Callithrix jacchus: one gene and its partners. The protein of the gene in region 1 binds, or shares a complex with, the protein of each later gene. Links are inferred from orthologs where the notes say so. Each region holds a gene or a part of one and is shown in the gene's direction. Other genes may lie near its edges.

What was found.
Region 2: ZNF541 (region 1) and DNTTIP1 share a complex: the UniProt entries of both Homo sapiens proteins name them as parts of the histone deacetylase complex. The link is inferred for Callithrix jacchus from reciprocal best matches to the Homo sapiens genes ZNF541 and DNTTIP1.
Region 3: ZNF541 (region 1) and SAP30 share a complex: the UniProt entries of both Homo sapiens proteins name them as parts of the histone deacetylase complex. The link is inferred for Callithrix jacchus from reciprocal best matches to the Homo sapiens genes ZNF541 and SAP30.

What each region holds. Positions count from the first base shown.
Region 1 is NC_133523.1:41,475,900-41,486,005, reverse strand, and holds part of ZNF541 (zinc finger protein 541), read left to right. Parts: intron 1-189; coding exon 190-2,047; intron 2,048-5,683; coding exon 5,684-5,742; intron 5,743-6,307; coding exon 6,308-6,464; intron 6,465-6,756; coding exon 6,757-6,930; intron 6,931-8,193; coding exon 8,194-8,518; intron 8,519-10,106. UniProt on the Homo sapiens protein: Transcription regulator which is essential for male fertility and for the completion of meiotic prophase in spermatocytes.
Region 2 is NC_133506.1:41,044,412-41,054,517, forward strand, and holds the end of DNTTIP1 (deoxynucleotidyltransferase terminal-interacting protein 1), read left to right. Parts: intron 1-325; coding exon 326-371; intron 372-2,694; coding exon 2,695-2,753; intron 2,754-2,855; coding exon 2,856-2,916; intron 2,917-5,632; coding exon 5,633-5,704; intron 5,705-6,703; coding exon 6,704-6,759; intron 6,760-6,872; coding exon 6,873-7,011; 3' UTR 7,012-7,248; downstream 7,249-10,106. UniProt on the Homo sapiens protein: Increases DNTT terminal deoxynucleotidyltransferase activity (in vitro). Also acts as a transcriptional regulator, binding to the consensus sequence 5'-GNTGCATG-3' following an AT-tract.
Region 3 is NC_133504.1:17,827,559-17,838,390, reverse strand, and holds the start of SAP30 (histone deacetylase complex subunit SAP30), read left to right. Parts: upstream 1-5,774; 5' UTR 5,775-6,052; coding exon 6,053-6,367; intron 6,368-8,251; coding exon 8,252-8,377; intron 8,378-8,781; coding exon 8,782-8,880; intron 8,881-10,832. UniProt on the Homo sapiens protein: Involved in the functional recruitment of the Sin3-histone deacetylase complex (HDAC) to a specific subset of N-CoR corepressor complexes. Capable of transcription repression by N-CoR.

The sequences.
Region 1 (10,106 bases):
GAGGAGCTCTCCTGCCAGGTGGCTTTGACAGAAGCAGGGTTTGCCAGGTGGTCTTTCCTCTTGGGGGCTGAGTACAATTTCTGCATTGTGGTGCAAAAGCACCACAGACTATCGGGGCCACCGGGGTCCTACGGGAGAAAGCGCAGTCCCAGGCAACCCGCTGACGCCCCTACTTGTGTCTGGCTCCAGGACCGGGCACATGCTCACCCACCAGAAGACGAAGCCCTTCGTGTGCATCGAGCAGGGCTGCAGCAAGAGCTACTGCGACTACCGCTCTCTGCGCCGGCACTACGAGGTTCAGCACGGCCTGTGCATCTTGAAGGAAGCCCCCCCGGAGGAGGAGGCCTGCGGGGACTACTCCCACACCCACGAGTCTGCTGTCCAGCCGCCCCCCAGCAGTCTGCGGTCCGTGGTGCCCCCGGAGGCCAGGTCCCCCGGCTCCCTCCTGCCCCACCGGGACCTCCTGCGCCGCATCGTGAGCAGCATCGTCCACCAGAAGACCCCTTCTCCTGGCCCGGCCCCGGCGGGGGCTTCAGACAGCGAAGGGAAGAACACGGCCTGTCCCTGCCCCGCCTCATCAGGGTCTTCCTCCTGCACCTCAGCCGACCCCACCGAGGCCCCTGCAGAGCTGGACACCAAGCTTCCGGAGGAGCCTTGCCTACCGCAGAAGGAGCCGGCCGCTGACGTGTTCACCGCCCCTAATTCCAGGGCAGCTGAGAACTGCGCCCCCGACCCGCCGGAGCCAGATCCCGCGCTGCTCCAGGCCCTGTACTCCGCGGAGGGCTGGCCGGAGGGCGGTTCCATGCCTGCCAGCCTGCCTCTCTTCCGAGGCCAGACGGTCCCTGCCAGTTCCCAGTCGTCGAGCCACGGCTTCCAGTGGCTCCGGAACCTGCCGGGCTGCCCCAAAAGCAAAGGCAACAATGTGTTTGTTGTCCACAAGCCCCCCGCCATGCTGTCACAGGAAGGCTCCGAGTCTGGCCCAGGGCCCAGCAGCGCCGCCCCGTCGGAAGAGCCCCCGCCTGGCCCCAGTGGCTGCCTGGAGGATGCGCTGCCCTTTCTTCCCGCGATCCTGAAGGCCTCCGGGGAGGCCCCGAGCGACCCCAGGCCTGCCAGCGGGGAAGAGGACCCCTGGGCCCCCAAGAAGAGCAAGTTCGACTGCGACTCCTTCCTGTGCCAGAACCCCGGGGAGTCCGGTCCCCTGGAGGCCCAGACGCCAGGGGGGCTCCCCGCGGATGCCACGCCGTTCTTCCGCCAGCTCTTCCTCAAGTCGCCGGAGCCTCTGGTGAGCCACGAGCAGATGCAGGTGTTCCAGATGATTACCAAGTCCCAGCGGATCTTCTCCCACGCCCAGGTGGCAGCAGCCTCCTCCCAGCTCCCCGCGCCCGAGGGCAAGCCGGCCGCTCTGAAGCCGCTGCAGGGGCCATGGCCGCATCAGCCCCCTCCGCTGACTCCTGCTGTGGACTCTGTCCACACCGGCCCTGAAAACCCGGAGGCAGAGGGCTCCCCAGCCCGCAGGAGGAAAACCACGCCCGGAGTTCCCAGAGAGGCCTCCCCCGGCAGCACGAGACGAGACGCAAAGGGGGGACTGAAAGTGGCCCCGGTTCCAACGTCCTTTGCAGTGGCGTCTCTGGACCCTTCCAGGAATCCGGAAATCTCTTCTCTGGCCAAGCACTTGCGATCCTCGAAAAGGACCTTGGACCTGGAGGACATCTTCTCCTCCACAGGCCAACGGCAGACCCAGTTAGGTGGGGAGGAGCCACCGGGAGCCCCGATGCACGGGAAGCAGGCCCCTGCCGAGAATGGCACAGCGTCAGGGACCACGAAAGGTGAGAAGGGCCCAGCCGGCTCCCGGGGCGGAAGCTACAGGCTGCTGGGCAACCCCAGAGCCCAGCGATTCTCCGGGTTCCGGAAGGAGAAGGTGAAGATGGATATGTGCTCTGCGGCTTCTCCGAGCCAGGTAGCCATGGCCTCCTTCTCGTCGGCCGGGCCTCCGGCAGATGCCTCCCGAGACTCCACGTCCAAGCTGACAATATTCAGCAGAATCCAGGTACCCGCTCTCTCTCTCACGTGGCCTAAGCAGAGTGGTGTGAGTTTTCTCTGCATTTGTTAGTTGTCCACGCATTTTATTTCATCGAAGTGAATCCCTAGATGCAATTTTATGGAGGAAGAAATTCGAGAAATTGTGGTTTCCCCCACTAAAAAAAAAAACCAAAAAACAAAAAAACAGACCAGAATGAGGCCAGGTGAGGTGGCTTACACCTGTAATCCCAGCCCTTTGGGAGGCTCAACTGGGAAGACATCTTGAGCTCAGGTGTTTGAGACCAGCCTGGGCAACATGGCAAAACCCCATCTCTACCAAAATTTTTAAAAATTAGCTGGGCGGTGGTGCATACCTGTGGTTCCAGCTACTAGGGAGGCTGAGGTGGGAGAATCGCTTGAACCTGGGAGGTGGAGGTTTCACTGAGCTGAGATCTCGCCAGTGCACTCCAGCCTGAGCGAAAGAGTGAGACCCTGTCTCAAAAATAATAATAATAATAAATGAGGATATTCCAGAGTTGTTGGAAACACTATCTCGCTAAGCCTTTTTTGCTTGTTTTTTTTTTTTTCTCTCGTTTCCCTTGCCTTGGATTTGCCTTTTTAGACACTTCAGAGGATATGAAGGTAGATGCCCTCCTTCCTTTAAATATCCCTGCTTGAAATGGCCATATGTTTTCTGATTGTGTGTCATGGTTTCCACGAGCACAAGTGGGTGCCTGCTGCATACCCCGCACTTCAGCACATTGATAATCATGCACAGCTTCCTCCAGACACTATGCTTGGAAGGCCTGGTCTGAAGAGCTCGGTCAGGACTCCAGACTCCAGGTTTCGCCTGGGCAACATGGCAAAACACCGTCTCTACCAAAAATTTAAACAATCAGCTGGGCATGGTGGCACTCCCCTGTGGCCCCAGGTACTTGGGAGGCTGAGTGGCTTCCCATCACACCAGAGCTGCCTTATTTTCCTTTTATTAGCAGCTTTATTATTCAGGTGCCATAAAATGCACCATTTAATTTTTTTAGAGATGGGGAGTCTCGCTATGTTTCCCAGCCTGGTCTTGAACCCTTCGGCTCAAGCAATCCTCTCATCTTGGCCTTCTAAATTGTTGGGATTACAGGCATGAGCCACCGTACCCGGCCAAATACAACATTTTATTGTATTTTTTAAAATTATTTATTTATTTGAGATGGAGTCTTACTCTGTCACCCAGGCTGGAGTGCAGTGGCGCAATCTCAGCTCACTGCGACCTCTGCCTCCTGGGTTCAAGCGATTCTTCACCTCAGCCTCCTGAGTAGCTGGGATTACAGGTGCCCACCACCAAGCCTGGCTAATTTTTTTTTTTTTTTTTTTTTGAGTCGGAGTTTCGCTCTTGTTACCCAGGCTGGAGTGCAGTGGTGCGATCTCGGCTCACCGCAACCTCCACCTCCTGGGTTCAAGCAATTCTCCTGCCTCAGCCTCCTGAGTAGCTGGGACTACAGGCACGCACCACCATGCCCAGCTAATTTTTTGTATTTTTAGTAGAGATGGGGTTTCACCATGTTGACCAGGATGGTCTCGATCTCTTGACCTCGTGATCCACCCGCCTCGGCCTCCCAAAGTGCTGGGATTATAGGCGTGAGCCACCGCGCCCGGCCCTAATTTTTGTATTTTTAAGAGATATGGGGTTTCACCATCTTGGCCAGGCTGGTCTTGAACTCTTGACCTTGTGATCCACCTGCCTTGGCCTCCCAAAGTGCTGGGATTACAGGCGTGAGCCACCTCACCCAACGTGAATACACCATTTTAAAGCATAGCATTGAGTAATTTGTAGTATATTCACAAGATTGTGCGGCCCTCACCACTCTTTCCAGGACAGTTTCATCTCCCCAACAGGAACCCCACATTTCTTAGTTGTCACCCATAATCTCACCCTCCACCCAGCCCCTGGCAGCCATGAGTCCCCTTTCTGTGTCTGTGGGTGTGACTGTTCTGGATGTTGCATGTGAGTGGAATCATGCACTCTATGGCTTTTGCGTCTGGCTTCCTTCACTCGGTCTGACATTTTCCAGGCTCATCCGAGGGGTGGCAAGCGGCAGAGCTGCGTTCCTTTCCATGGCTGAGTGATGCTGCTGGATGGATAAGCCCACATTGGATTTGTCTGTTCATCAGTGGGTGGACGTTTGGGTTGTTTCCACTTTTTGGCTATTTTGAATATAGTGCTGCTGTGATGTTCACTCGTGTACACATTTGGGTGGGGATTTGTGCTCTAGGAGTAGAATCGCCAGGTCTTACAGCAGCTCTGTCTTAGGTCTGAGGAACCACTAGGCTGTTTTGCTGAGCAGCTGCACCATTTCAGCTTCCCACCCCCAGAGTGTGAGGGCTCCACATTCTCCACGTCCTCACCAACACTTGTTATTGTCTGTGGTTTTTTTTTTTTTTTTCTGAGACAGAATCTCACTCTGTCACCAGGTTGGAGTGCAGCGGTGCAATCTCAGCTCACTGCAACCTCTGCCTCCCGGGTTCAAGCGATTCTCCTGCCTCGGCCTCCTGTTTTTGTTTTTTTTTTTAATTATAACTATCCTGATGGGTGTGAAGTGGTGTCTTGTTGTGGTTTGGGTTTGTATTTGCCCGAGGCTGATGATGTCGAACACCTTTCTGGGTGCTTATTAGCCATCTGTGTATCTTCCTAAAAGAAATGTCTCTTCATGGGCCAGACACGGTGGCTCATGCCTGTAATCCCAGCACTTTAGGAGGCCAAGGCGGGTGGATCACGAGGTCAAGAGATCGAGACCATCCTGGTCAACATGGTGAAACCCCGTCTCTACTAAAAATACAAAAAAAATTAGCTGGGCATGGTGGCACGTGCCTGTAATCCCAGCTACTCAGCAGGCTGAGGCGGGAGAATTGCCTGAACCCAGGAGGCGGAGGTTGCAGTGTGCCGAGATCGTGCCATTGCACTCTAGTCTGGGCAACAAAGCGAAACTCCATCTCAAAAAAAAAAAAGAAATGTCTCTTCAGATCCTTGGCTTATTTTTTTAAAATCAAGTTACTATTTTTTGAGTTCGTATATTCTGGATACAAGCCCCTTATCTGACACATGACTTGCAAATATTCTCTCATTTTGTGGGCTGTCTTTTCATTTTATTTATGGTACCATTTGCAGGACGAAAGTGGTTTGGTTTTGTTTTTTTTTTTGAGACAGGGTCTCACTCTGTCACTCAGGCTGGAATGAAGTTGTGTGATCATGGCTCACTGCAACCTTGAACTCCTGGGCTCAAGTGATTCTCCTACCTCAGCCTTCTGCGTCACTGGGATCACAGGCCCAGGCCACTATGCCCAGCTAATTTTTGTATTTTTTGTAGAGATGGGGTTTGGTTTCACCATATTGCCCAGGATGGTCTCAAACTCCTGGACTGAAGCGATCCTCCCACTTCGGCTTCCCAAAGTCCTGGAATCACAGGCATGAGCCACGATGCCTGGCTAAGAGAGTTAAAGTCTGATGAAGTCGAATTTGTCTGTTCTGCTTTCATGTCTTATCTAAGAAACCACTGTCTACTCCAAGGTCATTAAAGATTTACTCCGATGTTTTCTTCTAAGAGTCTGTAATTTGAGCTCTCCTTGCCTCTTCATTTCTGATGTGTTGCTTCAGATGCATTTTTATCTTCAGGGTGGAAACATCTACAGGCTTCCCCATCCAGTGAAGGAAGAGAACGTGGTAGGTGGAGGGTAAGTTAAGAAGCCCCCCACCTCCTGCATGTGCTCTGACAAGAGTCCTCTGGCTTTCCTGTGCTGGCCAGGATAAGTGAGTGGGGAGGATGCTTTCAGTCTTAATGGGATTAGGGTACAGCCTCCATTTTTTAGGGTTTTTCAAGAGTAGTCAGGCTGGATGCAATGGCTCATGTCTGTAATCCCAGCACTTTGGGAGGCCGAGGCGGGCAGATCACTTGAGGTCGGGGTTCAAGACCAGCATGGCCAACATGGTGAAACTCTGTCTCTACTAAAAATACAAAAATTAGCCAGGCGTGTTGGCACAAACCCGTAATCTTAGCTACTTGGGAGGCTGAGGCATGAAAATCACTTGAACCCAGGAGGCAGAGGTCACAGTGAGCTGAGATCATGCCACTACGTTCCAGCCTGGGCAATAGAGCAAGACTACCTCTCCAAAAAAAAAAAAAAGGAGTAGTCAGTGGATTGGAGTTATAGACAAAAAAGAAAGAAAACAAAAACTCAGTGATCAACGGCAGAGTCCCAATCTCCCACTCTTTTCTCCTGCCGTGTCTGCCCACATTAGCCAGCACAACGGTGGTCCCATGGACTGCACGGAGCCGAGCAGCACTTACGTCTGCAAGAACTGCAGCCAGATGTTTTATACGGAGAAAGGGCTGAGCAGCCACATGTGTTTCCACAGCGACCAGTGGCCATCACCTCGAGGGAAGCAGGAACCGCAGGTGAAGGGGCATGACCAGTGGCTTTGTGATTACTGGGTTTCTGGCAGGCCTGTGGGGCGTCAACGAGACTGGTGTCACACATCTCAGGATGGGGCCGTCGCGCTGGGTGGAGGGCTGGAGTCAGGCTGTGTGGCTCTCCAGGGGCAGGCCATTGCCGTGGGCTGCAACAGCTCTGCAGCTCAGGCCATGCCCCAGACTCACTGCTGTTTTCTATGGCAGCTTTTTCTGAAGCAGCTCTTCCTTTCCCCACCTACCTGTCTCTTAAAGAGCCATCTTTTCTCTCTGTATTTAGGTGTTTGGCACAGAGTTTTGCAATCCCCTAAGACAGGTGCTGAGGCCAGAAGGGGACGGGCACAGTCCCTCAGAACCCAAGAAGCCCTTGGACCCCATGGCTGCAGCCCCTTTGGTGGTCCCCCTATCAGTCCCTGAGGTTCCAGTGACCCGACACATAGGGAGCATGGCCATGGTGGGCGCTTGTCGGTCTGCCTTCTTCCTGCCACTGCCCCCTCTGCTGGGGGAAGCTGTAGGAAAAGCCTAAACCAGACACCACAGAAAATCTTGACTCCAAGACAGGCGTGGTGGCTCACACCTGTAATCCCAGCACTTTGGGAGGTTGAGGTGGGCAGATCGCCTGAGCTCAGGAGTTCAAAACCAGCCTGGGCAACATGATGAAACCCCGTCTCTACTAAAAATACAAAAAAATTAGCCAGGCGTGGTGGTGGGCACCTGTAAACTCAGCTACTCAAGAGGCTGAGGCCCGAGAATCACTTGAACCCAAGAAGCCTCTGCAGTGAGCCGAGATCGCATCACTGCACTGCAGCCTGGGCAACAGTGAGACTCTGTCTCAAAAAAAAGAGGAAAATCTTGATCCAGAAGAAGCTGGTTTGCACGTTAATTCAGTCATTCAGCATTCACTGAGCCCCTCTGTGCCAGGCCCTGTGCTGGGTGGTACTGGGGACACAGAGGTGACCACAATAGCCTGGGCCCTGCCTCCCAGGGCTCCCAGTCCAGTGGAGGAGACAGGCCTGTACCCAGACCGTGATAACCCAGAGTAGGCAGGGCTGGGAGTAGAGGGAGCCCAGAGAGTTCCAGGGGGCTCCTGAACCAGCCTGAGGAGGTAAGGGGGGGGCTTCCTGGAGGAGGCAGTATGGGAGCTGAGACCTGAAGGAGGAGGAGGAGTAGGGCTGGCAGAGCAGAGGGATTCTGTGGAGGTGAGAGAAAGCGTGGTGAGTTATAAGTGATTGGTCTCAAAGGGCTTGTCTCTGCAGCCTGTACTGAAGGACCCCACCTGGAGAAGCTCCTGCTCAACTTGGGAACAGAGTCCATGGACCTGAAGGTCCCCTGAGTCAGTGGCTGGGTCATTTGGGTGCTTGTCATTTGGGTGGAGCAGCATTTCTTTCTTGCCAGCATCACACTGTATCTTTAGGGATATCTCCCTGTTTAAGGGCCAGTCATCTTAACGGTTGAGGCCGTCCTCACACACAGTCAGAGGCTCTCCTGGGGCATCCAGATCATGGCCAGACTCAGTGCCTCAGGTCTGGCCCAGGTGTGGCTGGCCTCCTTTGCGGAGGGCTCGGTGGGGGTGTGGCCACGCCGGGCACGTGTGTCCTAGTTTCCTCTCTCCAGCCAGTCTCCTGTTCCCACTTTCATCCCATCCTGGAGATAGAGTGGTGCAGTAGGTGGCTTCAGGTGGCCACCTGTGGTTCTATACTCTCTCCTTCTTCTTCAGGGACAAGAGAAAGACGGGGAGGAGCAAGACAGCAAGGAGAGCAGCCAGCAGAGGAAGCGGAAAAAGCGGCCCCCACCCAAGTCACTGTTCATCCCTGCTCTGCCCTCCACGGCTGGGGAACCCGGCCCTGCAGGATGCCACCAGAGCCGCCTGCAGTCACCCGTGTTCCTGGTGGACCACCTCCTGAAGGGCTTATTTCAGTGCTCCCCCTACACACCACCCCCAATGCTCAGCCCCATCCGGGGGGGCTCTGGGCTATACTTCAACACCCTCTGTTCCACGTCCACTCAGGCCAGCCCTGACCAGCTTCTCAGCTCCATGCTCGGTGAGTGAGGCTGGGCACTCTGTGATCCCGGGGTGAATTGCCTGTGGACCATGCCCACTCTCCGTTGTAGCATGTGGTTCAGGGATTGTCGCCCACCCGGGTGTACCTAGTCTGAGGGACCCTTTGCTATTCAGACATGCCCCAGACTGATCTAAGTGCCTTCTAGTGCTTAGAATTTTATGGCCAGAAAAAAATGTAGAGGCCATTTAGCCTGACCATGCTTCTGCCTGCCCTTCTGTGTCATTTTCTTTTTCTTTTCTTTTCTTTGAGACAGAGTCTTGCTCTGTCACCAGGCTGGAGTGCAGTGGCATGATCTCAGCTCACTTGCAACCTCTGCCTCCTGGGTTCAAGCAATTCTCCTGCCTCAGCCCCCCGAGTAGCTGGGACTACAGGTGTCTGCCAACACACCCAGCTAATTTTTATATTTTTAGTAGAGATGGGGTTTCACTGTGTTGGCCAGGATGGTCTTGAGCTCTTGACCTCAGGATCTGCCTGCCTCGGACTCCCAAAGTGCTGGGATTACAGGCATGAACCTCCTCACCCAGCCTTCTTTTTCTTTTTTGAGGCAAGGTCTCACTCTGTCACCCAGGCTGGAGTGCACTGATGCGATCACAGCTCACTGCAGCCTCAGTCTCCTGATCTCAAGCGATCCTCCAGCCTCAGACTCCCAGTACCTGTGATTACAGGTATGCATCACCACAACTGGCTAATTACTCTAGGCTGGTCTCAAGCTCCTGGACTCATGCGATTTTGCATCCTTGGTCTCCGAAAATACTGGCAGTAAATGTGTGAGCCACTGTGTCCAGCCTGTGTCATTTTTTTTTTTTTAAATGGAGTCTCACTCTGTCACCCAGGCTGGAGTGGAGTGGCATGATCTCGGCTCACTGCAGCCTCCACCTCCCGGGTTCAAGCAATTCTTCTGCTTCAGCCACCCAAGTAGCTGGGACTAGAGGCGTCCATCACCACGCCTGACTAATTTTTATATTTTTAGTAGAGATGGGGTTTCACCGTGCTGGCCAGGCTGGTCTCCAGCTCCTGGCCTTCAGTGATCCATGTGCCCAGCCTCCCAAAGTGCTGGTATTACAGGCGTGAGCACCACGCCCAGCCTGGCCTGTGTCATTTTCTTCACAGCTTTATTGAGCTGTACTTCACGTATCTTGCGAATCACCCATCTAGCGTGTGCAGTGTTTTTTAGGATATTCACAAGGCCGTGCACCCATCACACAGTCTAATTTTAATTTTTTTCTTTATTTTTGTTGCTCTGTTTGCTTCCACACAGCCTAATTTTCAGCACACTTAGCATCCCCAGAGAAGCCGGAGCTCATTAGCAGTGACTGCCCATATCCCCACAGTCCCTTGTTCCCCAGTCTGGGCACCCACTTGTCTGCCTTCTCTCTTTGGATTTGCCTGTTCAGGACATTTCATATAAGCAGAATTGTACAATATGCAGCCTTTTGTGTCTAGTGTGTTTCACCTGGTATCATGTTTTCAGGGTTCCTTCATATTGTAGTGTGTATTAGTGCTCAGTTCCTTTGTATGGCTGAACATGTTTTTTTGCACAGATGGGCCACATTTTTTTATTCATCAG
Region 2 (10,106 bases), on another chromosome or scaffold:
TCTCCTACATGAAGCAGTTTTATTTCTCACAAATACAAGATAGGTAGGGCAGTTACTGCTCTTGTCTCTTTTGACAGATGAGAAAACTGCCACTCATAGGTTCTTAGAGTTGCTCATGCAACTGTGTAAGAGCAGAGCTAGTGCTAGAATAGCTTCCAGTCCAGTGCTTTTTTCCCTTTGCTCCTCCTCTAACGTGTCACCACGAAGGAGGATGCCCAGGGCTAAAGTGAGAGTATGTGAGGAACTCCTACCATCACCAGCAAGCCTGAATTCAGTCCTAGGTCTCACCTTGGAGAATTCACCTTTATTCTTTCCTTCCAAGCAGATGGAAACCAAAATCCTGTGAACCAATTCGCCGGGAAGGTCCTAAGGTATGATTATGTGAGCATGGCGGTGACCACTATCCCAGGAAATAGTCCCACTATCTCTGGGACCCACCACGACGGAAAGGGGCAGAGGGCAAAGGATGCATGCACACCATTCCAGAGCCATCTTCCCCTCTCCACCTCCAGCCACACTGACTCAGAGAGGATCCTATGTAGGAACTGGTGTTAGAGCCAAAACAAAGAGAGGCCTTGAATCTTTGCTGAAGCCTGCTCCTTGTAAGAGCTAGTGGTCACTAACACTTACTCAGTACTTAGTATGTATCAGCCAGTGTCCTAAATCTTTTGTGTAGACTCTCTCATTTAATCTTTGTAAAAAACTTAGGAGATCAATTCTGTGAACCATTCTATAAATGAGGAGTTTCCTTTTCTGCCAACTTCCCCGTGGTCAAAAATTATTTTATTCAGTTGTCTTATACACTTACTGTACTTGAGACTTGCCCAGAGTCACATAACTTGTAGGTGACTGAGCCAAGTCTCAAACCCAAGACCCACTGACACCAGATTCTGTGCTTCTAACCATTAGCCTCTGTTGCCTCCAGAGCAGTTGTTTGCAAACTGTTGTAGCAGTGAGATCCTTTCTTAAATAAAATCATCAATGGAACTCCAGTAATGTTGATACAGCATCCCTGTCCTCGTTGAGGCTGTGTCCAGTAGCTGCTGTCCACCTCTTGTCTTCTGGCCCTCTCTGCTTTCACACTGGTAATCATGCCTTTCCTCTAAAACCCTATTCGCTTAGAATAATGATCCTGCATTCCCCTGAATCTTTCTGTTCGTCTCTAAACATCCCTTCTTTCTCATGAGTTCTTCCTCAGCAGTGGTTTACATAAATGGATGCTCCCCAGACTTCTCTCCTTGGCCCACTGCTCCATCTAAAGTAACTCTCTGGATGATCTAAATCATGTACTCTTATGGTTTCAGGGACCACCATGTTCTAAAACTCCCATACCTCTTTGTCCATCCCATGCCTCTCTTTCTGCTTTAAAACTTGTATATCCTACTATGTACTTGACCACTCTGCTGGAGGCTCCATAGGCATTTCAGACTCAGCGTATCCAAACATGAAATCAGAATCTTTCCTGACAGCCCTTCTTTATGTTACTTATTTTAATCGTCTTTGCCTCCTCCTTTTTCTCACCTCCCAACATCCACTCAAGTCCTGGACAATTCTTCCTCTTAAACATACTGCAGTTCCTATTTCCTTCTCTTCATCCTTACTTCTGCCCTAGCTCAGGCATTAGCAGCTTTCCAACTGCTTTACCACTGCGGCCTCTCAACTGTTCTCCCTGCCTGTCATCTTGCCCCTTCAAATCCATTATCTACATTGCTAGAAGACTAAACTATCTCTTTTTTTTTTTTTTTTGAGACGGAGTTTTGCTCTTGTTACCCAGGCTGGAGTGCAATGGCACGATCTCAGCTGACCGCAACCTCCGCCTCCTGGGTTCAGGCAATTCTCCTGCCTCAGCCTCCTGAGTAGCTGGGATTATAGGCACGCACCACCATGCCCAGCTAATTTTTTGTATTTTTAGTAGAGACATGGTTTCACCATGTTGACCAGGATGGTCTCAATCTCTTGACCTCGTGATCCACCCACCTCGGCCTCCCAAAGTGCTGGGATTACAGGCTTGAGCCACCGCGCCTGGCCAGCAACTAAGCTATCTTTAAAGTAAATCTGACTCTCACTCCCTATTTAGAGGCCTTCAGTAATTCCCCAATGCCTACAGAAGAAATAAAATGCAGTCCCCTGAACATAATCTCATAGGACCTCCAGCTCCTCTGGGTTTTCCTCTCCAGCCCCATCAATTGCCACTCCCTAATTTGTACTGTTAGCAACAGAGAGTTACTAGTAGTTTCTCCAGCATGCCAAGCCGACTCTCACCTGTCCTTGCACATGCTGCCCCCTGTCTGGAATTGCCTTGTTCCTCACCCCCTTTACCCCAACTTGTGCTCACCCTTTCAGAATTAACTTGGGAAATACCTCTCTAAGGAAGCCTTCCTGGCTGCACCCTCCCCTTGGCAGCCCTCAGACTCTCCACTCACCTGTGTCATTGCCTCATCGCATCATGGTATAATTATCTGTACATATGTCTGTGGCGCCCTAGAAAATGGAGACTGTATCTTATTCATCTCTTTATTCCCAGTATCTAGCACAGACAGGGCCTAGCATATTGTGAGTACTCAGTGTTTGGAGTACACTGTTGATTGAATAATAGATAAGGGTAAGCATGAGAAAAGGGCAGGGGGAGGAGTGTTTCTGTCCTGCCCACTAGTTTAAACTTCACCCTCACCAGCTTCTCTGTTTTTTCCATAGTGGGACCCAGCTCGCCTGAATGAATCTACCACCTTTGTATTGGGATCTCGAGCCAACAAGTAAGTTTAAGAGCTTTGGCACTGGTAAAGGAAACAGCTCTGGAGTTCACTAGTAGGAACTGCACTTTCTAGAATCTTTACCACTTGGCTTTTACTTTTCAGGGCCCTGGGGATGGGGGGCACCAGAGGGAGAATCTACATCAAGCACCCACACCTCTTTAAGGTAGGTGAGGGCTGGGGGGAAAGCAGGCCATGGATTGGGAGTAGTTTGGGAACTCCACACGGTACAGAGAAGCTTAGAACAAACACTGATCTGGGAGTCATGACATCCGGGTTCTAGCTGCACCTCTGCCATTCACTTACCTTTCATGATTTACTCAGCACCTCTGTGCCTCAGTAATAACAGCTCCTTTCCCTGCATGTTTATTGTACGCCAAACACAGTTTTAAATACCACACTTACATTATCTTAAAAAATAAGTACTGCCATCCTTATTTCACCAATTCAAAACAATCAGAGGTTGAGAAAGGCTGAGTGACTTGCCCACAGTTATTCAGCTAGAAGTGGTGAGTCAGGATTCAAACTCAGGTCTGTCTTCACCAAAGCCTGAGCTCTTAACCACTACTATATTTGGCTGTCTGTAAAACAGAGTTTGGAGCAAGGCAGGGTCCTGTGCCTTTTCAAAGAGGGGACTCCTGAGAGCAGCTATGTTTTGATCCACACTGTTTGAGGGAATAATAAAGGAAATCATAAACTCACTTGCCCTCTTAGATGATTTTATATTTTATTGGTTCACAACAGCATCAAAATAGATTAGGAAAATCGTGGTACATGTGTGTTCCACACATGGTTTTTGCACCTCTACATAAAGCTTGGCACCCCTTGCCAGAACTCCACAGCCCCTGTGGGATCCCAGAACCACGGCTTTCTCTACCACATTCTCTGCAAGTTTTCAAGTTCTTTGAAAGGCTTACCTGTTCAGTCTTCTCCAGTCTGAGATCCTTGCATCTCAACACTTAAAGTTTGCCCAGTGGCTCCTTCTTTGTTTCCCTCTCTTGATGTCGTCATTCTTGCTATTCCCTTTACCTGGGTGGCATCCTCTCCCACCCTTATCTGGCTGACTATTCTTTAAGATCTACCTCCTCCAAGAGCTTTCTTTGTATCATCCCCAAAATCAATATGCTCTTGGACCTACTTTGAATTCCCATTTCAGCATGCTTAAAAATATGGCTTCAGGCTTCATTCCATTACTGGCTGCATGAACTTGAACAAATGGCTTCACATTTCTTTTTCCTTTTTTTAACTAGCTCAAGTCTGGGAATTGATCCACATTTCTGAGTCTGTTTTTGTTCTTTATAAGATGGGAACAGTGATAGACCAAGGTTAACTAACAGAGTGTAGTAAAGCACTTAGCATTATGCCTGGCACATAGCAAGGGCTCAATAAATGTTGATTATTATTAGCATAATTTCCCAACTCTGAAATCCACCATTTGTAATAAACTCCCAACTCATACTCTCATTACCAGTGGTTATTACCTCTCATTTTAATCTTTCCAGTCCAATAACTGGAAAGAAAATGGTTTTTTTTGTTTCACTTTACAATTCTCTCTGTTTTTTTTTTTTTTAATGGGACAGAGTCTCCCTCTGTTGCCCAGGCTGGAGTGCTGTGATGTGATGTCAGCTGATTGCAACCTCCCGTCTCCCAGGTTCAAGCAGTTCTTCTGCCTCAGCCTCCCAAGTAGCTGGGATTACAGGGATGTGCCACCACGCCCACCTAATTTTTATATTTTTAGTAGAGACGGGTTTTCACCATATTGGCCAGGCTGATCTCGAACTTCCAACTTCAAATGATCAACATCCTTGGCCTCCCAAAGTGCTGGGATTACAGACATGAGCCACTGCTCCTGGCCCAACTTTATAATTCTCTACTAGTGATTATAAGTATCTTTTCAGTCATTTAGAATCTATGTGTATTTCTTCTGTAAGCTGCCTGTTATATCTTTGGCCCATTTTTCTGTCCTTCAGAAGACATTATTCAAATATTTTTCATTTTTAAACTTTTTGATTATAGAAATAATATATAAACCCATTTCTGTTGTAAAAAGATTCAGACAATACACAGGAGGTAATAGAGACCAATACCCAGTTTCTCAGCCAGGTGCAAAGAAACCCAGCCTAGAAGCCAGAATTTCAGGCTTATTTGGGCCGAACATGTTGGCTCGTGCCTGTAATCCCAACACTTTGGGAGGCTGAGGCGGGTGGATCACTTGAGGCCAGGAGTTCCAAACCAGCCTGGCCAACATGGCGAAACCCCATCTCTACTAAAAATACAAAAATCAGCCAGGTGTGGTAGCACATGCCTGTAATCCCAGCCGCTCAGGAGGCTAAGGCAGAAGAATAGCTTGAACCCAGGAAGTGGAGATTGCAGTGAGCTGCGATAGTGCCACTGCACTCCAGCCTGGACAACAGAGTGAGACTGTGTTTTAATAAATAAACAAACAAACCTTATTTGTAACTCCAAAACTGGGTTCTTAACCATGATGCTATTCTGCATCTGACAGTACCTGAGGTGTCCTAATTCTTGTTTTATTATTGTCACCATAATAATCACAGACATTATAAGGCACCTCAGATAACTTTTTAAAAGAGGAAACTATCAAATAATAGTTATCAGTCCCACCAGTTGCTAGGGTGCTTTGTTTTGACAGAGGGACTGGGGACTGGGAGTATACTAAGTCTCTGGGAATTGGGTCCATGATCTGCCCTCTGGGCTTGGCTCGGCTTGCTCTGAAGATATTAATGAACCCTCTACAGCCACCATGCTAGGAGACAAGGACTTTTGGTAAGGACTGCTCAAAGGGCAAGAGTATGCTCTAGGACCAAATGAGAAGAACCCCTTACCTGAGGCTAATACTTCTACAACTTCATCCCTTACAGTATGCAGCTGACCCCCAGGACAAGCACTGGCTGGCTGAGCAGCATCACATGCGGGCAACAGGGGGCAAGATGGTAAGCATTATTCACATGTGCCATTGCCAGGGACCCACCCCACCTGGGAACCAGGATTCTGGATGTGGGTGACAGCTTACCTCCAAATCTGACTCCCAAAGCCTGACCAATGTGAGAAGAGAGACTTTTAAGGCCCATTTCTTCATGCTGAAGAGCACATTGTAATCCTCAGGTTCCCTTCCCTGTTCCTGGGTCTCCCTTTGCCCCTTCACCCTTTCACCTTGTTCTCCATGTTGGTCACGCTGGTCTTGAACTCCCAACTTCAGGTGATCCTCCCACCGTAGCCTCCCAAAGTGCTGGGATTGCAGGCATGAGCCACCACACCCAGCCCCACAGAAGGCTTTCTAATGTGACAAACATCTCTTCTTATATGTTAATGTTCACAAAAGGGCCCTCACCCACTGTAGATCGAGGCATTGTGACAAAGCATTTCTATAGGCCTCAGTACAATACAGGCCAATTACTAGACAGCAGGGCAGTTATCATGTTTTCCATTTTGCTACAAAGTTCTAAACCAAGTTATCTTTGTCCTCAGAGGGAACATATGGTTTCCTCTTCCTGATTTCCTGTTTCCATGTATATTTTGCTGACATTCTTTGCCGTTTTGTCATCACCAACCTTGGGTCCTTTTATACATTTGATCATAACCAAAAGGTGGAGGAGCAATGGTGGGTCCCTTTTTTTTCTTTATTTTTATTTTTTTAATTTTTTCACCACACCATTCAAGAGAGAAATGGGTCCTTTTCTAAAAGAGGAGGCTATAAATAAGTCACTATTCCCTATTCTCCCACCCATAAAGCATCTACTTTAGTAAAAGATTGTCTCAAGGAGCCATTCCCATCTATCCCCACTTACTCTTCCTTACTAAATTGCAAACCACATCCCCCTCTTCCACCTAGTAAGTAGCAGGCCTTACATTAAGCAGATGTGTAATGAAGTGTTACTGAGTTGGAATGAAATTAGTCAGGCAGTGACCACTCTCCCTTGCTTCTGCCCCAGGCCTACCTCCTCATTGAGGAGGACATCCGGGACCTTGCTGCCAGTGATGACTACAGGTAAAACCAGTGGGCCTCTTGCCCCTTCTCCCCCTGCCTCAAAGTATCCCCTAGGATGAGGCAGGACCTACATCCTCACTTCCCCCAACTTCCTTCTTCATTGTCTGTTCCAGAGGATGCCTGGACCTGAAGCTAGAAGAATTGAAATCCTTTGTCCTACCCTCCTGGATGGTGGAGAAGATGAGAAAATATATGGAGACACTACGGACAGAGAATGAGCATCGTGCTGTTGAAGCACCACCACAGACCTGAGGCCAGGGCCCCAGGCCACATACACTTGGCAACCCTCCTTCAAAGCCCTCTTTCCTCACACGGCTGAGGCCACCACTGGGACTGCTCCTAGATGGATCTCAGTGGCATTAAGCTGTGCCTGAGCAAGTTTGTAGTGACTCACTGCACAGCACCCCCAGACTGGCATGTGGTTCTTTCTTTGTAAAGTTATTGGGATAAGGAGCAATTAAACAGTTTGTAATAAACACAGATGGTGAACCTGCTGTTCCCTCTGTCTTGCGGAAACTGACAGAACATCAAGGGCTCTAGAAGTGGGTGTAGGAAAAAAGGATAAGATAACCTCACCCATAACAGTATAGACCCAGGCTTGATGAAACCAAGCAGGGAGTACCATGTATCTTGCACCTCTTTCCTGTCCCGGTTTGTAGTTTCTTTACCCAGCTAATGTAAGGACATGGCAGAATGTGATGGCTAATCCTGTGGGGTTTGATGACAGACCATATGAAAAATAGAGCTGGGTTTTATTGCTCCCATTTTACGGGTTAAGATACTAAGGAATCTGCCCCAAGGTCACACAATACCCGTTGGAGAGGTAGGACATACAGGATATGAACCTGTGTTACTGAGGTTTTTGTTTGTTTGGAGACAAGAGTCTTGCTCTGTCGCCCAGGCTAGAGTGAAGCCTCTGCCTCAAGTGATTCTCCCGCCTCAGCCTTGCCAGTAGCTAGGACTAGAGGCTTGTGCCACCTCACCAGCCTATTCTTTTTTTATGTTGCCCAGGCTCGTCTTGAACTCCTGGGTTCAAGCGATCCTCCTTCCTGGGCCTTCCAAAGTGTTGGGATTACAGGCATGAGCCACTGCGCCCAGCCTGAATCAGTGTTGTCTTTTCTTTTTCTGTCAAATGCAGAGATGTATGAACCTCCGTTTTCTAATAGGGAGCCTGCTGCTCTGGCCATCAGCCTCTAGATTTTCCCCTCGCTGGGATTTTCAGATACTCAGGACCCAGCAAAGGTAAACAGGCGATTATACAGTGGGGAGGAGCAGAGGTTTCCAGTTTGGGGGAAGGGTACCAGTGTGGCAAGATTGGAGGCACTCCTTTCCCGAGGTAGATGGGATCAAGGCTGGGCGTGCTGGATGTTCCCAGGCGGAGTAAGGCTTGTAGCCTTAAGGAGAGTTCATCCCACGTGGACGTTTTCTTGGCCCTTTAATGGTCAGCGTTTTCCAAAGCGTTTCCAATGTGCTACGGATTCGTTAGTTAATGGCAGCCTCGTCTACCAATCGACTGTCAGAAGCGGGATCCTGCCGCCCAATACTGGTGCGCCGGTGGGTAGGTCTAGTAGTGACGCAGCGACAGAGCGCTCCGGCGCGTCCCATTGGCTGGATCAAACCCAAGCGAGCCACTGATTGGCCGATGCCCACAGAGGGTTACAATTCAAACGCAGGCGGGCGGGCCCGCAGCCCTGCAGTTGCCGTCGTGTTCTCCGAGTCCCTGTCTCTCTGCCAGCGCCGCCCGGATGGCCTCCCAAAACCGCGACCCAGCAGCCACTAGCGTCGCTGCCGCCCGTAAAGGAGCCGAGCCGAGCGGGGGCGCCGCCCGGGGCCCCGTGGGCAAAAGGTGAGTGGTGCGGAGTACCACTCGTCGGGCCTGCCATCCCTAGGCATTGGGACCCAGAGCAAAGATTTCTAGGACCCCCAGCCTCCTTCTGGAGCAAGAGATAGGCGGGTGCAGAACACGCCAGGAACTCGGGGCCTGGCATTCCCCTGGGCATGGGTGCCGAGGGCGGAGACTTCCAGGACTCCCACCTCCTTGCGCGGGTGAGTTTGGGAGATGGGGGACACGACAGGAGCTCAGATCGCTCTTTGAGGTTCTCCCTAAGGAGGATGGAAAGGTAGGAGCGCTGCCTGATTCCTTCCCTGAGTGGGCCTAAATTAAGGCAGCGCAAACACGCTCGTGACTTGGCGGGGACAGGGTAAGGGAGAAGTTGACTGCTCCCCCTGAGAGATTCAGGTGGGGGGAGATGCACCATCTAGAGCCCTGGCCCAACCAGACTCCCAGGTAACCCGCAATGCTCTTTTTGCAGGCTACAGCAGGAGCTGATGACCCTAATGGTGAGTGACTAAGTGCCCGGAACCCCAGCCGACTGATCCACCCTTCCACCCAATTATCAGTAGCCTCCTTTCCTACATCAGCTATTTTGCTAGACATAGGAATAAAAAGACGAATGTAATTTGCTCCCTTCTGGGAAGAAGTTCATACACCCCACCTGCACCGTTTCTTCCTCCCAATTCCATCCCCCTACATGAAGTTATCTCTAAAGCACTTGCCTGAAGTCATTCAAGACCCTGCCTGTCGAGTGCGTGCCTACTTCCCGGCCCCAACCAAGTTTACCCACACCCAACTTCCCACCCTTCTTGGTATTTCTAGCCTGTGAATGTGGTAGCTTTACTTTGAATAAGAGTGTGATGAGATTAAGGGGAGACCAGGTGTGGTGGCTCAAGCCTGTCATCCCAACACTTTGGGAGGCCAAGGTGGGCGGATCACTTTAGGTCAGGAGTTTGAGACCAGCCTGGCCAACATTGCAAAATCCCGTCTCTACTAAAAATATAAAAATTAGCCATGTGTGATGATGCATACCTGTAATTCCAGCTACTTGGGAAGTTGCGGCACTAGAATCGCTTGAACCTGGGAGGCGGAGGTTGCAGTGAGCCGAGATGGTGCCACTGTACTCCATTCTCGACGACAGATCAAGTGTGTGTGTGCGCTCGTGCACGTGCGTGTATTTTGGTAGAGATGGGGTAACCCCATTTATATCTGTGTGTGTGTGTGTGTGCGTGTGTGATTAAGGACAAAGGTCTCACCCACCGACCTTTGCTGTGCCCCAAAGTGTACTCCACACTCCAGCAAATGTATTTCCTCCCCAGATGTCTGGCGATAAAGGGATTTCTGCCTTCCCTGAATCAGACAACCTTTTCAAATGGGTAGGGACCATCCATGGAGCAGCTGGAACAGTAAGTGTAGGGCTGGGTTGGGTGAGTATGGCTTTGCAGAGTCTGGGGAAAGGTGGGAGGTGAGATCCAAGTGGGAGCTCTGCTTAAAGCCTTTGATGGGGCAAGAC
Region 3 (10,832 bases), on another chromosome or scaffold:
AAAACACAAATTCAAAGATAAAATTATTAATAATTACATGATGGTGATTGCAGGGCATTAAACCTCAAGCAGAATGGAAGAGTAGGAGAGTAGAGAGTGTTGGCTTCTGGGCTTGGGGCCCTGTGTCACTCCAAGTCTGTGAAGCTGGCCCTTTTGGCAATGTTCTGTTTCCTGACCTGGGTAGCAGCTATATGGGCGTGTGTTTTATCATAACTGCTTGTCTCAGTTCATTTGTGTCACTCTAACAAAATAGTTGAGACTGGGTAATTCACAAAAACCAGAAATTTATTTTCTCAAGGTTCTGGAGGCTGAGAATTTCAAGATCAAGGTTTGATCTTGGTGTCTGGTGGAGACAGCTCTGTGCTTCCAAGCTCATGCCTTTTGCTGCATCCTCACATGGTGGAAACAATGGAAGGGGGTAAATCCTCCCCCTCTATCTCTTTATTAGTGCCTTTATGAAGAGCACTAATCCCATTCATGAGGGTGGAACTCCTGAGGCCTAACTACTTCCTAAAAGCCCCACTTCTTAGTACCATTGCATTGGGGACTGAGTTTCAAAATGAATTTGGGAGGGAACATACACAAACATTGAAACCACAGCACTGCTTAACTGGACATTTATGCTTTATTCAATTTTCTATATGACTGCTGAGGTTAAAACTAGGTAAAGGAAAGGTGGTGTAAAACAATGAACTTTCGGTGTAAAAATATAGAATTATTCACATATAGAAATGTATATACTAGTACATGCATATAATTTTTTTCTAGACGGAAACAAGAATCTGTTAATGTTCGTTGCTTTAAGGGACAGCAATTTGAGAAAATGAGGAAAAACAGGCTTTTGTTTTTCATATGAACCTTTTTATATTATCTAAATGTTCTAATGTGTTCATGTTGGGATTATTGGTCAACTTGTATGTTTTTATAAATTAAATAAAATTATTCAGTCTCTTATTTTAAAATAAAGTCAGTAAAATGCAGTTATGTTAAAAACCTATAGGGAAGGGAGGCAGGGATACATACTTTTTTAAGAATTATTTTTGAACCATTTTAGAAAGCAAAGACTATTTTGTTGATATGAACAACCTCCCTATAATTAAGGTTTCATAAATTTATATTTTTCACATAGTCTACTCTGACGTAGATTTACCATGAAGCAAATGAATTCAAGCTTCAGAGTCCCTCATTTGGACAGGACCTTATAAACATATTTAACTAATTTTGCATTCATAATTTTATATACTTCTTTAAAAAGACCTTTCAGATTGTATAATCTCGAAGCCCCCAAAACCTGATTCCAACCTTGACTACGAAGTACACTCAAATCAAGGAGTTCTTATACCTGCCCTAAATATTAAGATTTGTAGAAATAAAGCATAATTGTTGTAAAAATTTATCTAGACAAATACATTCGCTGAAGAAATAATTTAAATCTGGCAGTGAGAATTAACATGTCCCCTACTCCAGGAATCTTTTCTAATTGCCAGAAAGGAATCATTTCCTCCTATGCGCTATGTCTGTACTTTCTAATTTTATTGAGGTTTGTATTACATGTTTGTTAAGCTACCTGTGTGCCCTACCAGAGAAGAAGCTCCAAAATATCTAGGACCCTTTCAATTATTTTTGTGTCTCCAGGGCCTAGAAAAGATTCTAGTATGTCAGAAGTGACTGTTTAATAGGATCTATTTACAACCACTGTATTGTGTGTAAAGGAGGCATAGTTACAGTTCTTCTTTTTTTTAATTTTTTATTGGATTATAGGTTTTGGGGTACATGAGCAGAGCATGCAAGACAGTTGCATAGGTACACACATGGCAGTGTGCTTTGCTTTTCTTCTCCCCTTCACCCACATTTGGCATTTCTCCCCAGGCTATCCCTCCCCACCTCCCCCTCCCACTGGCCCTCCCCTTTTCCCCCCAATAGACTCCAGTGTTTAGTACTCCCCTTTCTGTGTCCATGTGTTCTCATTTTTCATCACCCACCTATGAGTGAGAATATGCGGTGTTTCATTTTCTGTTCTTGTGTCAGTTTGCTGAGGATGATGTTTTCCAGGTTCATCCATGTCCCTACAAACGACACGAACTCATCATTTCTGATTGCTGCATAATATTCCATGGTAACGACTATACATACCATGCAGCTTAGGGAGATACACAAAGAACTTATCAGTCAGCATCTTTTTCCTACTGAATTTACATGATTTGGTCACATTTTGCAGAAGATAGATTATAAGCTTTTAAGCACAACCAAACAATATCATGAATTATTTTAAAAATACATAAATGAACAAAGAAAAACATGAAAATTCAACATCCCACTGTCATGTTTCAGATATTTTTAATAAATAAAAACTTTAAAATTCAGCAGGAACCATCTTGAAGCCATTCCCGGTGTGAAAATTGATCATACAATCTGGATCATTTTTGTTACATCCAACTAAGTCAGAATTGAGGGACTAGGGGAAAAAGCAATCTGGGCATACACCTCAAAGATTAAGAATTAAGTTTTTTACAGCCCAGCTGCTAAAACAGCCTGCAGTACCTCTAAGACCAATTTTACCCAGTAGTTGCTAAAACAATCTGCTATGACTAAGATTGGTTTCACCTACCCCTATCACTCACCAATCAGTGCTTCCCAGCTTCCCAAAAGTTTACTGGCACCAATGAGCATTCTTTCAAAACAGTAGTAACATTTCTCTTTCTAATAAAACTTTTGATTTTCTCTTTGTTCTTCTGACATACCAAAGACCACCCAGTCTCTGAATATGTCCTGAATTGCAATTCTTGCTTCCCCAAAAAACCATTACATTTAGAAATTCATCTCTTTATATTTTATGTTTACTTTGACACGACATACAAATTCCTTGGCCTCCTTTGTTGGAGATGAGCATCACCCTGAAGTTGGGATGTATCCATCCCAACTATGTTCTCATTTTTACCACTTAAAAAAATAAATCCTGGCCGGGCACGGTGTCTCACACCTGTAATCCCAGCACTTTGGGAGGCCGAGGCGGGCGGATCACAAGGTCAAGAGATCGAGACCATCCTGGCCAACCTGGTGAAACCCCCGTCTCTACTAAAAATACAAAAATTAGCCGGGTATGGTGGGGCGTGTCTGTAATCCCAGCTACTCGGGAGGCTGAGGCAGGAGACTTGCTTGAACTGGGAGGTGGAGGTTGCAGTGAGCTGAGATTGCGCCACTGCACTTCAGCCGGGCGACATAGCAAGACTCCATCTTAAAAAAAAGAAAGAAAGAAAGAAAATATATTCATAAATAATATATAGGTATTCTGGTTTTTGTTATGTTTTGTCTTTTTGTGAGACAGAGTCTTGCTTTGTTGCTCAGGCTGGAGTGTAGTGGTGTAATCTCAGCTCACTGCAACCTCCACTTCCTGGGTTCAAGCGATTCGCCTCCCGAGTAGCTGGTACCTCAGGCTTGCGCGACCATTCCTGGCTAATATTTGTATTTTTTTGTTGTTATCTTTTTTGTTGTCAAGTTTCAACTTTTTGTTGACAACTTTGTGGTCAAGTTTCACTCTTGTTGCCCAGGTTGGAGTGCAATGGCACGATCTCAGCTCACCGTAACCTCCGCCTCTCGGGTTCAAGTGATTCTCCTGCCTCAGCCTCCTGTAGCTGGAATTACAGGCATGCGTCACACACCCAGCTAATTTTGTGTTTTTCGTAAAGACGAAGTTTCTCCATGTTGGTCAGTCTGGTCTCAAACTCCCGACCTCAGATGATCCACCCGCCTCGGTCTCCCAAAGTGCTGGGATTACAGGTGAGAGCCACAGCTCCCGCCTGTGTTGTAACACTTTCAGCCAGCGTTATCTAATGCAACAGGTACAATTTATTTTAATTTTTTTAACCCATTATATCCAAAATATTTAAACATATATAAAATTTTTAATGTGCAATTCAATATTCTTTTTGAAAATTTCTTGTACTAAGTCCAGAAAGAAAAATCCAGCTGATATATACTTACAGCACATCTCAATTCACATGCTAAAGTTAGAGTTCATAAAATTTAAGTTTGAAAAACAGATTCATATATCTTGTTGCAAACATACTTAAAAGTGTTCCAACAATTGAATGAGGCATCAGGGTTTTGTTTTGTTTTTAGTTTAATTCAAATTCAATTAATGATTCCATTTTTCCGTGTCAACCACATTTCAAGTCCTGAGTAGCCACATATGGCTAGAGAACAGCCTACTGGAAAGCGCAGCTTAAGGAGATACACAGAGTACTTATCAGTCAGCATCTTGTTCCTACTGAATTTATGTAGTATTTAAATTGTTTTTCTTTGCCATATCCTAGAACTCAAGTGCACAGACGCAATGGATACCTTTGAATTTCTGCGTCGATGGCATTTTGCGTTTAAAAGGATCGTCTGGGCAAGTTGGCGCACGCCTGTAATCCCAGCTACTCGGAAGGCTGAGGCAGGAGAATCTCTTGAACCCCAGACGGGGGAGGTTGTAGTGATCGGAGGTTGTAGAATTGCGCCACTGCACTGCACTCCATCCTGGGCGACAGGGCGAGACTGTCCCAAAATTAAAAAAAAATCATTTATCACTAAATGTATTCACTAAAAGAACTTGCAAAAAAAAAAAAAAAAAGCAACCTACTGCCTAAAAAAACATTTTTAAACGTATTTTTATTTAAGCAGAATATACTGATAAATAATGATGCGTGGTAACTAGTAAAGGTGCAGCTTTCATATTAGCTACGCCCATCCTTCTCCCCCATCCTCCACAAGCACGTCCCCGCCGGCCCTCTCGAAGAGACACACGTACGCACGCGCGCGCCCGAGAACACATACACACGCCTGCAGCACTCACAGGGCTGCGCGCGCCTGCCAGGACCCAGGAAATGCGCCTTCCACCCCCTGCGCCCGGTGGACCTCATGTAGGGAAGTTTCTGGGAACAGTCAAGCAGCCTTTGTATTGGTGGGGTTCCAGTCTCCTTTTAAATGATATGACTCCGCCCTTCCGCACAACCGTTTGGGAGAAGTGGAAAAGGTTGGCCGTGGAGGCGAAAAGGAGTCCTGTTGTCAGCTGGTCCGTACTCCACCTCAGGAAGCGGCCAACTCTGTGCGCCCAAGAATAAAATATGTCCCTTGCAGGAACTTGCAAGGATTTTGAAACGGTCCCCCACTGAGGCTTTGGAAGGAGGGCCTGTCACAGTTGAGAGGTCTGGATGGGTGTTTTCCTCCCAGTAGGTGCCCTATTAATTTGCTGCCTCAATAGTTGGTCTACCCGGGGTGTTAGCGGCGGGACCTCCAGGACCCGAAAAGCGCCGATTCTCCTGCGTACTCCTTGGTTTGGGTTTCCCACAAAAGCGCGGTCACACTAAAAACTGTCTCCACGAAAGCGAAACAGTCTCAAAACTTTTTTTCCCCACACGCTCACTTACTTCCCACACCACTCCCATCCTTTTATGCTTCGCCTCAGGAGTCGAGTGACTTCTCTGAATACCAATTCTACCAAATCTAAGGAGCTATACACACAGCCCGACTTCCCGAGAGAAACAGAGAGAAAACACTGCAAACCCCAATCAGACGCTCCTGTTTTCCCGGTACTAAGAAAAAAATAAAAAGTCGGTCCGTCGCCGCGCTATGCATGCTAGGATTAGTAGTTCCTCCATCCCGCAGGGCTCAGGGTCAGGGCGGAGCTCAGGTTGATTCCGTAGCACAGAACTACAATTCCCGTGGTGCCACGCAGCAGAAAGAAAGGGGCGGGACGTGAGGGGGCGCTTCGCGCCTGCGCAGGCCCCAGGGCCAGAGGGAGGCGGAGGCGAGGCGGTCCAACTGCTGAAGTCCCCATGTGACAGTGAACGGGGTCCCAGCTCCAGGAGACGCTCGAATCCGCGTCCCAGCCCTCAGCAGTGTCCACTGTTCCGGTGCCAGCGGAGACCAGCAGGCCCGGGACACTTGGTGCTTGGCAGTGCAGCTGTCTAACTTGGTGTGCAGAGTGAATTGTTGCTGCTGGAGCGGAGAGAGGCGGAGCGGCCAGGAGAGTGGGGATTTCTGTCAGCGTCGGCGCTCCAAGCTCGGAGACATGAACGGCTTCACGCCTGACGAGATGAGTCGCGGTGGGGATGCGGCCGCCGCAGTGGCCGCAGTGGTCGCTGCTGCGGCTGCCGCCGCCTCAGCGGGGAACGGGACCGGCGCTGGCGCCGGGGCCGAGGTGCCTGGCGCGGGGGCGGTGTCAGCGGCGGGGCCCCCGGGGGCGGCTGGGCCGGGCCCCGGGCAACTGTGCTGCCTGCGGGAGGATGGCGAGCGGTGCGGCCGGGCGGCGGGCAACGCCAGCTTCAGCAAGAGGATCCAGAAGAGCATCTCCCAGAAGAAGGTGAAGATCGAGCTGGATAAGAGCGTAAGTCACGGAGGGACCGCCCTGCCTCCCCCAGCCCCCGGGCGTCAGGAGCCCGGTAAAGGCTCGGGTTGTCGGCTGGGTCCCCCAGACCTGGCTGCAGTGCGGACTCGTGGAGTCTATGGTTGGAGGCAAACAACAAAGTCGCTGCAACTCCGACCGCCTCCCCCACAGGCACAACACACACGCGGCGTTCCCCTCTTTCCCAGCCTCCCGCTGCCTGTGTGTCTCCCGCGCGCTGTCTTCCCTCTTCCTCCTCCTCTGCGATCGGGACACGGAACAAAGGGGACCGCGGCACCGAGGGCCCAGAGTAGTTTTCTTGCAGCCCGGCAGCCTCTGGTGGAATGGAGGCGCCTTTGTTTTGCTGCCCGAGCTGGTGTTTGGCCCGAGGCAGCACTAACTCCCCTGGCCTAGGGCTAAGTGGAGGACCTTCGCGAGCAAGGAATATCTTGTTCTTTTCGGTGTTCGCCTCCTGATTCCGAGCGGAGTGAGAGGGAAGCAGAACTCACCCGCTGCCTGGCGGGGCGCCGGGCTCGTAAACGGCGTTTGCGCTGTCAGCTCCCAGGGCAGATCCTCCGATGGTGGGGAGCACGTAGCCTCTGCGGTTTTGCCATCCCCTTGGCAGCCATCAGGATTTCTTCTTTCCTCCTTTTGCACTTCCGTTCGTTTGACCATCTATGAGTTTTTTTTTTTTTTTAGAAACAACCGTTGCTACTCTGGGGAACTCTGCCTGTCGGTGAATGAATAACACGGTTTCAAGAACCTAGCACAAGTCCTGCATATTTTTATCTTGCGCTTAGCCCAGAAGTAAATTGAAAAGCCTGTTCGCTCAGTCCTTGTTTGTTTAAAATGTTAGTCTACAGCTGGTAGGAGTATATGTAATTAAAGTTTTTGAAAAGTTGATTTGTGACGCTTTTTGCCTGTTTAAACAGTTCTTCAGTGTTATCCAGGAGAAACTTTTCAGGTGAACTTGCATAATTTCACATTGCTTTGGAAAAATGTGTTACAGATAAATACATTGATTTAATATTCAGAAAAGTCTATAACTGAAATTTAAATATAGTTAAGATATGAAATCGATGGCTCATTTGTAAAAACGGATGGTTTTGTATCTGGAATATAATTTGGGTGTTAAGTTAGAAAGACTAGAAAGCATACATTATATTACTAAAATATGCTCTTCTTTAAGTAGAGAAAGTACTAGCAAGTAGCGAGAGTGTGGGCAACATCATCTTTCCCCTTACCAGTTAAAAATTCAACATGAACTAATTCAAGTCACCCTCACTGCAATTTATTTATTTAGAGACAAAGCCTCACTCTGTTATTTAGGCTCGAGTGCGGTGGCGCGATCTCGGCTCACTGCAATCTCCACCCACCAGGTTCCAGCGATTCTCCTGCCATAGTCTCCTGAGTAGCTGGGATTACAGGCTTGTGCCACCATACCCGGCTAATTTTTTGTATTTTTAGTAGAAACGGGATTTCACCATGTTGGCCTGGCTTGTGTAGAACTTCTGAGTTCAAGTGGGCCACCTGCCTCAGCTCTCCGAAAGTGCTGGGATTTCAGGGGTGAGCCACCGCGACTGGCCCCTCACTGCAATTTGATGACAAAACCCAGAGGGTTGGGATTTCTCATTCTCCCCTCCCTCCCTCCCTTCTCCAAATGGCACCGACCCCTCCTTCCCCATTTGCCTTCCTTTTAACAGTATTCCAGACATCTTATGTTTTAACAGGGCATAGGATTTAAAAGTAGAAATATTCCATAGTCTTAACAATGACCCATCTTGACTGTCTTTATTTTTAATAACTCTCTGTGGTATATGTGTTTTATTAATACATAGACATATTTTACTGTAATCATAAGCAGTGTGTGAAACTTTTCTGTTTCAGGCAAGGCATCTTTATATATGTGATTATCATAAAAACTTAATTCAGAGTGTTCGAAACAGAAGAAAGAGAAAAGGGAGTGATGATGATGGAGGTGATTCACCTGTTCAAGATATTGATACCCCAGAGGTAGATGGAAGTTTTTTATGCTTAATATAAATCCTAAGTAGTGCATTCTGAAACCTTTACAAAAAGATATGAACAGTCTTTTAAGTGTTTAGAACATTTGAGAAATCTGAAAATAAAAGCAAAATTAAATGTAGCCAGTTGACATGCATTTGCACAGTTGGAATTGTTTTAAATTGACAATTTTTACAGCTCTGCTGTCATGGAACTTTTTTTTTTGACCTGTTTATATTTATCCCCAAAAGATTAAAGTGTTTAATAATTTATAGGTTTGATTATGTAAAAGGATTTTTTGGTAATGGAATTAAATTTTTATTGTGCTGAAGTTAAAATGTTTGTTATACATATCAATGATAAATTTTCAACAAATTGTATGAACTAATTTATGCATGTTAATTTTTTTCTAGGTTGATTTATACCAATTACAAGTGAATACACTTAGGAGATACAAAAGACACTTCAAGCTACCAACCAGACCAGGACTTAATAAAGCACAACTTGTCGAGGTATATATGAGTTTCAAACTGTTTAAACTATCTGCTCAACCAAGAGGTTATTAAATGCTAATGAAAGTATTAACGTAGTATATGTAATGGTACATTTTAGGTAGAAAGAACAAAGTTAAAAAATCTATTGTGGAAGAATCTAGTTGTCTAGAAATGTTTGTCTGCCACTTGGGAAATTCCTTTTTTAATGACTGCTCAGTAGATTGTGTACAACACCTTTTGATACCGGCTTTGAAAATGTGTTGTTTGTTTGTTTTTTGAGAACAGAGTCTTGCTCTGTCTCCCAGGCTAGAGTGCAGTAGCATGATCTTGGCTCACTACAACCTCTGCCTGCTAGGTTCAAACAGTTCTCCTGCCTCAGCCTCCCAACTAGCTGGGACTTCAGGTGTACACCACCACACCAGGCTAATTTTTGTATAATATTTTTAGTAGAGATGGGGTTTCACCCTGTTGGCCTGACTTGTCTCAAACTCCTGACTTCAAGTAATCTGCCCACCTCAGCCTACAAAAGTGCTGGGATTATAGGTGTGAGCCACCATTCCTGGCCCTCAAAATGTTGAATGAAAGTTTTTTAAATCCTCACTTTAGAAATCTATTAGTTTAAAATTCCATTTAACCAGTAAACCATTTAAGCACCTAATTGAGGCATAATAAAATTTAATTAACAAGCATAAATGTCCTTATTAGAATTTATTTTTTAAAGTGGTGGAATATGTCTACAAATCAGCCCCTAAACAGTATTTTTATAATTCGCTGACTTACGTATTTCAAAATTTGTCCTGTTGATGTTAGTTTTATTAGAGACATCCATGTTTTCTTCACATCTAGAAGAGGCAAAAGCTTTTCTTTTACCCAAGCTTTTACTTGTAGTTTGCTTTGATAGAGGACTTCTGGTCAGTCAATGAATTGTGAAAAGTTAATGGAGTGTGTATATGTTCTCAGGATACAGTAGAACCAAGAAATCTATGAATCTTATTAAGATATTTATAGATTTATACTTTAACCATATATAAAATAAAAATTTTTACTTGCAGCTACTTAGGAGGATTGATTGAGCCTAGGAGTTTGAGTCACCATGGGCAACATAGTAACACTCTCTTAAAAAAAAATTTTAGCCTTCTAGACAAAATAAAAGTGTAGATCTATCAATCAGTTTTCTCATGTTCTTTGCATGGATTTAGTAGTTACCCAACATTTTCTAAAATGTGCATATTGAATAAAATGAAATATGAATAGAAAATATGTTTATTTGGGAGAATGTTTTTTAACATTGTTAAAATCCAACATATTAACTATTTAGCTAAAATTTCTTCTGTATTTCTTTATTAGGCAACACAGATCTAATTTTTCTTTACTTTTGATTTGAAAGATTAAGATCTTTTCGGGTTGTATAATACATTAATGTAACATAAATGTAGGTATTGCCCACCATGATAAAATATTTCAAAAGCTACTAATGGAGTGAAGGCACCTCTGTTTTGAGACAATGAAGAACCAAAGAACTGATTATTCTAAATGTTATATTTAAGTATAAATTAAACCTGAAATTTTTGATAAAGTAACCTTATAAGAACAGTTGTATTATTTCTAGAGCTATTTTTTTAAATAATTAAGAGATAGCCATGAGTGTTATATTTTATTTAATCAGAAATGCAGATATTGACAGGTTAAGGACTGTGCAGATGTAGCACATGTATTTTAAGACAGGGGTCCCCACCCCCAGGGCCATGGACTGGTACTGGGCTGTGGCCTGTTAGCAAAGGGTGGGTAGAGTGGGAGGTGAACACTGGCTAGCAAGCATTACTGACCGAGCTCCACCTCCTGTCAGATCAGCCACAGCGTTAGATTCTCCTGGGGGACCAAAGCCTCTTGTGAAGTGCACATGAGAGAGAACTAGGTTGTATGCTTGTTATAAGAATCTAATGCCTGATGATCTGAGGTGGAACAATTTC